Nothobranchius furzeri: one gene and its partner. The protein of the gene in region 1 binds, or shares a complex with, the protein of each later gene. Links are inferred from orthologs where the notes say so. Each region holds a gene or a part of one and is shown on either strand. Other genes may lie near its edges.

What was found.
Region 2: the proteins of nup58 (region 1) and nucleoporin p54 are in contact, whole or in part, in a crystal structure (PDB 4JO7), measured with the Homo sapiens proteins. The link is inferred for Nothobranchius furzeri from reciprocal best matches to the Homo sapiens genes NUP58 and NUP54. Residues at the interface, in NP_054808.1 of Homo sapiens: Pro342, Tyr345, Phe346, Leu349, Val350, Phe353, Gln356, Leu357, Tyr360, Gln363, Ile364, Leu367, Leu371, Gln374, Ser378, Ile392, Tyr393, Phe396, Leu399, Ala400, Leu403, Ile406, His407, Val410, Lys414, Tyr417, Tyr420, Arg421; in NP_059122.2 of Homo sapiens: Tyr453, Leu459, Glu462, His466, Leu467, Gln469, Gln470, Gln471, Gly473, Leu474, His476, Leu477, Ile478, Ile480, Ile481, Asp484, Leu485, Ile488, Lys489, Leu490, Val491.

What each region holds. Positions count from the first base shown.
Region 1 is NC_091747.1:56,986,790-56,991,054, forward strand, and holds the start of nup58 (nucleoporin p58/p45), read left to right. Parts: upstream 1-1,150; 5' UTR 1,151-1,369; coding exon 1,370-1,449; intron 1,450-1,996; coding exon 1,997-2,166; intron 2,167-2,247; coding exon 2,248-2,280; intron 2,281-2,357; coding exon 2,358-2,627; intron 2,628-2,767; coding exon 2,768-2,927; intron 2,928-3,093; coding exon 3,094-3,159; intron 3,160-3,259; coding exon 3,260-3,434; intron 3,435-3,571; coding exon 3,572-3,651; intron 3,652-3,734; coding exon 3,735-3,853; intron 3,854-4,265. Other genes in the region: mtmr6 (myotubularin-related protein 6), read right to left, coding at 335-358. UniProt on the Homo sapiens protein: Component of the nuclear pore complex, a complex required for the trafficking across the nuclear membrane.
Region 2 is NC_091746.1:59,725,087-59,729,373, forward strand, and holds the start of nucleoporin p54, read left to right. Parts: upstream 1-1,214; 5' UTR 1,215-1,427; coding exon 1,428-1,470; intron 1,471-1,885; coding exon 1,886-1,993; intron 1,994-2,141; coding exon 2,142-2,222; intron 2,223-2,370; coding exon 2,371-2,535; intron 2,536-2,899; coding exon 2,900-2,986; intron 2,987-3,903; coding exon 3,904-4,050; intron 4,051-4,287. UniProt on the Homo sapiens protein: Component of the nuclear pore complex, a complex required for the trafficking across the nuclear membrane.

The DNA of each region.
Region 1 (4,265 bases):
TACCATCTCTGTTAAATAGGCCTATCATGTGTTACTATAACTCCAGATGCAGCCGAGTTTTCTATTAATCACTAAAATGCTTAAACTAGTTCAATAACTGGGTGTGAAAGTTGTAGGGTTATTGAGTGAAAGCCGTGCTGTCTGTTGAGCGAGGGGAAAAAACTAGCAAACAGATGCTCGTCACGTCTGATTCTAGCGACACCTGCTAGCCAACACATCTGGCTAACATTACATAGCAACACTGAATCACAGAAAACATACCAAAAAGACAAGGCCCAATAAGCTTATTCATCCCATCCATTTGCAAAAATTAGCAAAAAAAAATGTTAGCTACCTTCGGCGTTCGGATGTGTTCCATTTCTCCGAATCGAGACCTGTCAGCGACGCAAAGGGCTCACACGACGCGCTAAGATGACAAGTGTATCATTGATTTAAAAATGGTTAAGACTGCAGAGGTGTCGCCTTGACTTTTCGCTGTTATACGTTATGAGTTTATTGTCAATTATTTCACTCTTTTGTTAGCGTGAAGTTAATTACTATCACGGCAACGCTGCACGTGAAGTGTTTTCAAAATAAAGCGCATTTTGTGTTTAAAACACCAGGGCTTCGGTTAAACCCATGGTTAAAACCGCCTTTCGTGACATATAGTTTTTTTTAGTAAATATACACAATCGACATCAATATTATGATATACACACATATGTTGAGTTGATTAAACTTTTAACTGGCACTGTGTTGTGACGTGCTGAGATTTCACACCTAAATTACCACACGGAATGACAATAAATGATGTGATTCTATTTTCTAATTAAAATTTTTTTAAATGATCGAATTCGAATCTTGAAATGTTGTTTAAAATACGCCCTTTAAAGTCACGTAATTTTAAGTAAATTTTGTTTAAGCAAGGGGTTTTATTTTGAAAGCACATCCGGATTTAGTTTGTACTTTATGAACGACTTTTTAGTCCAAATTAGAAGTGTGCGCATGCGTTAACGTCACAGGAGCTGTGTAAAATCTGGGAAATGTAGTTTAGATAAATTATTACCCAAGATGCACTAGCACAAAAATACCAGGCGGGTAATAGGAAAAGAAGAGCCATGCGAAAAGTAGTTTTGAGAATTTTTTTTAACATACCAGGCTTATTTAATAGATTGTAAATCGCCACAAGGCTGCAGTGTGATCTCACTTATTGGGAATATAAAACATTTTTGATCAGTTATGTTTTAAACAAATGCTAGAGCGCGGATCTTGGCCCTCACGCGGCCATGAAAAGCTAACTGACGTGATGGTGTGCTAAGCTTGCAAATGAATTTCATTAGTATTTGAAGTTCAAATTGTTTGGTAGTGCTTGTGTAGCTGTTAGGAGAAAATGTCTGGCTTTAACTTTGGATCGGGAACGCTTGGAGCTACCAACACGGGTGGAGGATTTTCATTTGGAGCCGTTACCAGGTATTTTTAGTTAGCCGTTCTGGCTAAAGTTAGCATAGCATAACTTTAATCGTGTGCCATTTTTTACAATCCTTGTTTTTCAACATAGCTCACAGAGGTGGTTGCTTGTAATGTTTAAATGCACTGCCTTTTAGGGGTTTGTTCCTTCACGCAAACGTTACACTGCATTATTTAATAACATAATTGGGTTATTGAAATGTTAAACTAATTCCAGTATCCCCACATTGCTTCCACTGTCTTAATAAAGAACGCGTTTCAATAAGTTTGTGATTCGCACGTGAAACACTTATTGTTACTTAAGAATCATAAAGTTTAATTTCAATAAAACCTCCGGTTTAATACGTTTTTGGGTGATGTGCTGGAATGTCAGGATATCTACTTTTTCCATTTTGCCCAGGTTGCTTACAGCAGTTTGGCATTATTTGTTTGTGTAAACACATTTATGAAGTACTGTGGTTTAACGTAATTCAAATGGACGGATTATACATTTTTTAAGTGCAGCTTTGTTATTGAAAAAGTGTGAAATGATCATCCTTTCTGTCTTAAGTGCCCCTGCAGCCAATACGAGCGGCTTTTCCTTTGGGACTGTTCTGGGAACAGCAGCTGCAGCCCCTGCTCCAACCACTGCCACCTCCACCACTGCTTCTCTCGGACTGGGAGGCAGCATCTTTGGCCAGAAACCTGCTGGAGGATTCTCTTTCAATACGCCAGCTTCAAGTAATGATGCATTAACACATTTGTTTAAAGCTTAAGTCGTTCTGTGTGTCTTAACTTTTCTGTTGGGATCTTATCTTACAGGTGCTTCTGCGCCCACCACAGGCCTCGCAATAGGTATGCTAGCTTTCAGAGTGTGTTTTGGAGTAAGTGGGAAAGTTTCTACGTTTAATTTCACACACACTTTCTTTCAGGCATTCCAGCTACAACAGCTGCTACCACTGGCTTTAGTTTAGCCTTCAACAAGCCCACTGCCTCAGCGACACCCTTTTCCCTCACCACCAGCACCAGTTCCTCGACAGTGGGAGCAGGTTTATCATTTGGCTCCGTCCTGACATCCACAGCACCACAGCAGCCCTCAGCCACTGGCTTCAGCCTTGGTCTCGGTGGCATCACAACCGCCTCAGCAGCCTCAACAGTGCCATCACTGGGCACTGGACTTTTCTCCAGCACTGGAGCCTCAGGTTAAAATGAAAATAAGTTAACTTACACTGTCACGGTGCAGCACGTGTACAATCTATATATAACAATCAATTTAGCAAATCCAAAATCTCTGAAAGATCCGAAGATTTGTTCAAACCTCTTTTTCTACTTTGTGTTTCAGGGCTGGGCCAGACTACTCTTGGAGGAGGAGCCTTGGGTTCTTTGCTGGCCACCTCCACAGCAGTACCAGCTGCTCCTTCTCCAAGCATTGGCCTGGGTGGGGTTGACTTCAGCACCCTCTCCGAGAACAAGAGCGATGCATTATCTGGAACCAATGCTCAGTATGTGGCTTTATTCGTGAGGCCTTTGAAATAGTAAAACTAACGTTTGAATTCTAAAAATGTCCAAGACAACGTTGGTTTCCTGTCTTGTGGTCATTTACCTCATCAGTAATGATCTGTCTCCTGTATGATGGCGTGAAGAAACGTGTCTCATTCTCCTCCTCAGGGACAGCAAAGCTCTAAAAGATGAGAATCTGCCCACATGTATTTGTCAAGATGTAGACAATTTTCAGTAAGTATTACATTTTGTTACTGCACTGTGTACATGCTGAGTTTTTCTTTTTATCACCTGAAAGAGAGTTCCTTTCTGCATCTTTCTCCCTTATTTGCAGAAAATTTGTAAAAGAGCAAAAGCAGGTTCAGGAAGACATCAGTAGGATGTCCTCAAAGTCCATTTCTAAGGTTCAGGATGACATCAAAAGCCTCAAACAGCTGCTTTCTGTCTGTGCCAGCGGACTGCAGCGCCAGGCTCTGGCTATAGACAAACTCAAGTTGGAGACAGCTCAGGTATCAAACATAAAATAACTCAAATGACACATTCTCTCAAATGTTCCAATTTCGAAAGGTTGCAGCTCTTCCTTGTACCTTTTATACATAAATTACTCTTCCGACAAAACTTAACGTTCTTCAAATTCTTTTATAAGGAGCTGAAAAATGCAGACATAGCTCTGCGCACCCAGAAGACACCTCCTGGCCTTCAGCATGAAAACACTGCTCCGTCAGAGTAAGTCATCGAGCAGCAGCGTCGAGGCAAATCAAATGCAAATATCAGTGACCTACAATCGGCTGTTGTGATCTTGTGTTTAGTTATTTCCGTGGCTTGGTTGACCAGTTTGAGGTGCAGCTGCAGCAGTACCGGCAGCAGATAGAAGAGCTGGAGAATCACCTGACCACGCAGAGCAGCGGCACACACATCACCCCTCAGGGTAATGAGATGTGGAGATAACACTGATTATTTAATGGAAACGTAAAAGCTAGTGTATCAAACGCTACCCTTTAAATTCATCCTGGAATATAGTTTTTCAAACATAACAGAGGTTTGGTTTTAATTTTAACAAGTTCCACTACATTATTCATTGTTAGGTGGATGAAAACAACTCGGTAACGACACACAATTTACGGCAGACCCCGTAACGTGTTTCTGTTTAACTAGAAGGCTAATTCAGAGCTAACATGTCGTCTCAGGAGAGCTCTAATCTTTTCAGTGTGGACATGTCTCAAGTTGGACAGTGAAGTCAGTGGGACAGCCATTTTTAATCTGTGACTACCGGGCGTTTCAGATGGTGGAGAAAGACGGCTGCATGATACGCTGGCTTAAAACAGGGTATCTGCGGGTCG
Region 2 (4,287 bases), on another chromosome or scaffold:
GTGCCAAATGCTGATTAGATACAATCTCTGTGAATTGATTGTTACTGCTACAAACACGTGTCCTGAGTGTCTGCTTGCTATGAAATGTTGCATCTTGTTGTTTTTACTCTGTACACAAAATAAAAAAGTAGTTTCAGTAGTTCTGTGTTTGCCTCTGAGTTTGGTGAATAAGATGTGAGTGCAGAGGGAATTAAAATACAGGAGATTAGCTGCAGACACGGGAGCAAGGATGAAACCTCCAAAATCTGTAACTTTGACAAGCGTTACGATAAGTTTCAAGTTTACATAATATTCTATTCGTTTTTATTTGTAAATATCTTTGCCATACTTGCATAGCAGCAGCAAATATAAATTCACCCATACATGGACTTAGTTTTTTTTTTGGAGGGGGGAGGGGGAAGATGTCCCCCCACTTTTTCAAAAGTCAATTTTTGTCCCCTGCACTTTTTACCATCCACAAACAATATTACGCTACATTAAATTGGCACTGGTTGAGCACTAGGACCAAGCGGAAAACACCTGCTTGTGTTGAAGCCTGTTTCTCGTTAGAACTGTCTATAAGCTCATCTGTTGGCTCTACTAATACTTGAAAAGATGGCAAGCTATATAAATGAATGAGTCTTGTCTTTTGTAAAACAATTCAGAATATTTTTTATTTCATGTGTGTATGTTTGCATTCATGTAATAGCCCAGAAATCTAGATCGACTGTAGCACAAGCAAAAGGATATAGGGTGGCTTGCTAATTCTTTTGTACTCAAACTAAACTCATGAATGATTCTGTGTTACCAAAGGTAATTTATAATAAAATGTATGTATAGTTTGTATGGATAATAATAATAATAATAATAATAATAATAATAATAATATACGGTTCATGGCTCTTCAAGGACTAATAAACCTCAAAAGCTTCTAATAATTGGAGATTCCCTTTATATTATTTAGAATGTAAGCACTTCCTCTAATACTTTATTTTCTTGTGCTTATTTTTATGTATGCTCATTCATTGAAATATGACTGTTTTCTTTTTTCGAACATAATAGCTCGTCGTGTTTTTATTTGTACTATAAAGTTGATCAAATTAAAGCTGAACAATGTTAAAATCCGGACACTAGGTGGCGGAAGAGCGTTGCTTTGTTGAAGTATGAACAGTCTATGAGTATGAACGATGTGTTGAGAAATACAGAAACGATTAGACTAACTCTAGTTTCAGCGCCTTTGGCTTCCTGACAGGGTCGTGGAAGGCGCTTTATAATTAAAGCTTTGATTGATTGATTATGTAGGAAAACGCACACATGTGTACTAACCAGTCCACACTCCGTGCCAGTTGGTGGCAGTAATGTGGCACGACGTTGGTCGCCAACTGGCATAAAACATCAAACAGGAGAAGAAGAAAAGAAGCGACGAAGAAGAACTGACATTCGCCAACATGGCGTTTAGTTTTGGCGGCGCCACGAGCAATACAGAAGCAAGTATGGACTTTAGTTACCTCTACTTTGTATTCTTTCTCTTAGCGAAAGCTGTGTCGGATATGTGTCATAAACCAGACGCCACAAGGATATGAACGCATTACTAGCATATGTAGTTAGTACGTGTCGCAAGCTAACTGCTGTTGAAGCATCATGTAATCTCACAATCCGGCCAATGCAGCAAACTTCAGTGGGTTGTGTTCCACGTTTTAAGTTAAAGTCATAACTAGTTTGTTACGTATTCAGATGCGGGACAGATTACTTGGTCATCTACCTTTAGCAGTAAAGCCTCCCCATGTTAGCGTCATGCTACGAATCAGCTACTAGTTAGCTACTGTATGAAGTTTTCAGAAAAGCATCGAAGGATACAGTAGAGATGTAATCCAACATTTAAAGACTCGTTTATGTTCTTTTAAAGGCGCGCCCGGGTTCTCATTCGGCGCATTTGGTGCCAAGACGACGGCATCAACCACGTTTGGATTCAACCCCACGGCCACCACGACCACCGCTTCTTCAGGGTTTGGCAGTAAGTCACGCTCCTGACCCACATTCAAGAGGTCTTCTGTGTTTTGTTTTGGCTTTCATTCGTGTGTGTGTGTGTGTGTGTGTGTGTGTGTGTGTGTGTGTGTGTGTGTGTGTGTGTGTGTGTGTGTGTGTGTGTGTGTGTGAAAAAGCTCTAACAGCTCCTGGTTTTGGGACTGTCACCTCCACTTCTGCACCCGCTACAGGATTTAGCTTTGGCTCCACCAACACGGGTAGGACAAACATTAGTTTTAAAGCGCGTTTCATTCGTTTTGTTGATTTTTAGACGATTAACTCACTGAAGAGCTGGTGCCAAATGTAGCATTGTGTCATTTAACTCCGTGTTACTTTCTTCTTGCTGCCTGCCTGCTTCGGCTACAGGATTTGGGGGGCTTGGAGCTGGAAGCACCATGGCTGGCGGGTTTAGTTTTGGGGGGTTTGGTTTAAATGCCAACCCAGCAGCAATCAGCTTTAATGCAGGGTGCTTTGGTACAGCAACCACTACTGGCACTATTTTCAATTTTGGTAATAGCCTGACTAGCACAGGTAGATGATCTCTGTGATCGAGTTCATTTTGTGTTTGCAAAAATCGTTTGTGTCCACCTCCATGTGATGCAGTGTTTTTCTTTCTCCATCTCACCTGGTGACTCTTATACATCTATGTTCTGAAGTTTCACTGTTTTTGCATGAAAGACTGTGTTAAACTATGCTCTCATCTTGTGTGATGATGAATGTGGACATTCAGTACATTTTTTGCAGAACATCATGTTTGATGGATGTCATTTGATCATTGCCAGAAATACTTTTCTGCTACTCACCATGCACCCAGTGATTTCCAACTCTTGTTCTCTCATCTCCTTTCCCTTTAACTCCTTTCATTGGAGGGATTATTCTTTGATTTCCTTTCCAGGTACATTTGGTGGCTTTGGGGCAACGACAACAACAGCTGCTGCACCGGGGTCCACTTTCAGCTTTACTACCCCCTCCAATACAACAGGTTAGTAACAGAGTAACCTCTGTGAGTACACATTTAGAGCAAAATAAATATTAAAGCTGTGCGTGGCGACATTAGGAAGAATTTGGACTAACTTGAATATAAAAAATATATATTGATGGAACCACCCCCCAGCTTTACATGTTACTCTGAAGGTGCTGGTGAATACTGCTACTAGTAGTCAAAGTGGTGATTGACCGTTAGAGGTCTCATGCCTTTACAAGATATTTTTACTGAGACCCTGCTGATTCTCCAGAGCAGGTTAGGTTTCCAGTTTGGGAATTGCATGAGATGACACTTCTCGTCTGCTAATCAGTAATGGTGAGCAGATTCACCATTTAATCAATCGATTGCACTGTGACACTTGCCAATTCAATAACAATTTATAAATATATAAAAAAAATATATAATGAAATGCCTAAAAACAGCTGCTAAGCACGGCAGGAACATAAAAGTTGCACGTACCATTCGTACACTTTAGGGGACGGACCAGCGGAAATGTAATAAACAGCAGTAGAGAGCCTAAGCCACGCCCATTTACTTCCAGTCCGGTCTACTTCCAGCGTGTGAATGACTGTTCTTCGTGGAAGCACTTTCGAGTCCTCTGACACAGAAATGCCAATTACCATTTCAGTTTATTTACTATAAAATCACAAATGAATGTTTAAGAACATGTGTAAGATGCAGGTGATGTCCTATTAACACCAGTTCAAGTTACTATTTTATCCCAAATAAACAACCAAAACAGCAGGTTCTATGATGCTATATTCTTGTTCTAGCATGAACACTGAGCTGCTACAAGATGTCTCACTTTACCAAAACACGGGGCTCTCCTTGTTGCTGTGTTCCTTCTGCAGAGCTGACAGCATCTTTTCTTTTTTGGGTTTTAATTTGTTGCTTTTGAATGCGTTTTGTCTTAGGAGGCCTGTTTGGGAACACAGCCAACAAAGGGTTTGGATTCCCAGCAGGACTGGGAACCGGTACCGCTACTGGAACATCAGGGTTTGGAACTGGATTAGGAGCAACTGGATTTGGAGGTTTTAACATCCAGCCGACGCAGCAGCAAGGTGAGCGCCTCCTTTTCCAAGTGAGTGTTTACCTGCAGAAATCAGGAGATTATTATTGTACCAAGTCTGTTTCTGTACATGAATAAATCCAGTTTCAGACAGTATCTATTAGGGGTGCACAATATATGGGCATCATTAGTGGTATCGGTCAATATAGGTAATTTTTTTTTATCATATCTGTATTGGTCCGATGGGCTGGGCAATATAACTATAGCTATATATATATATATAAATAAA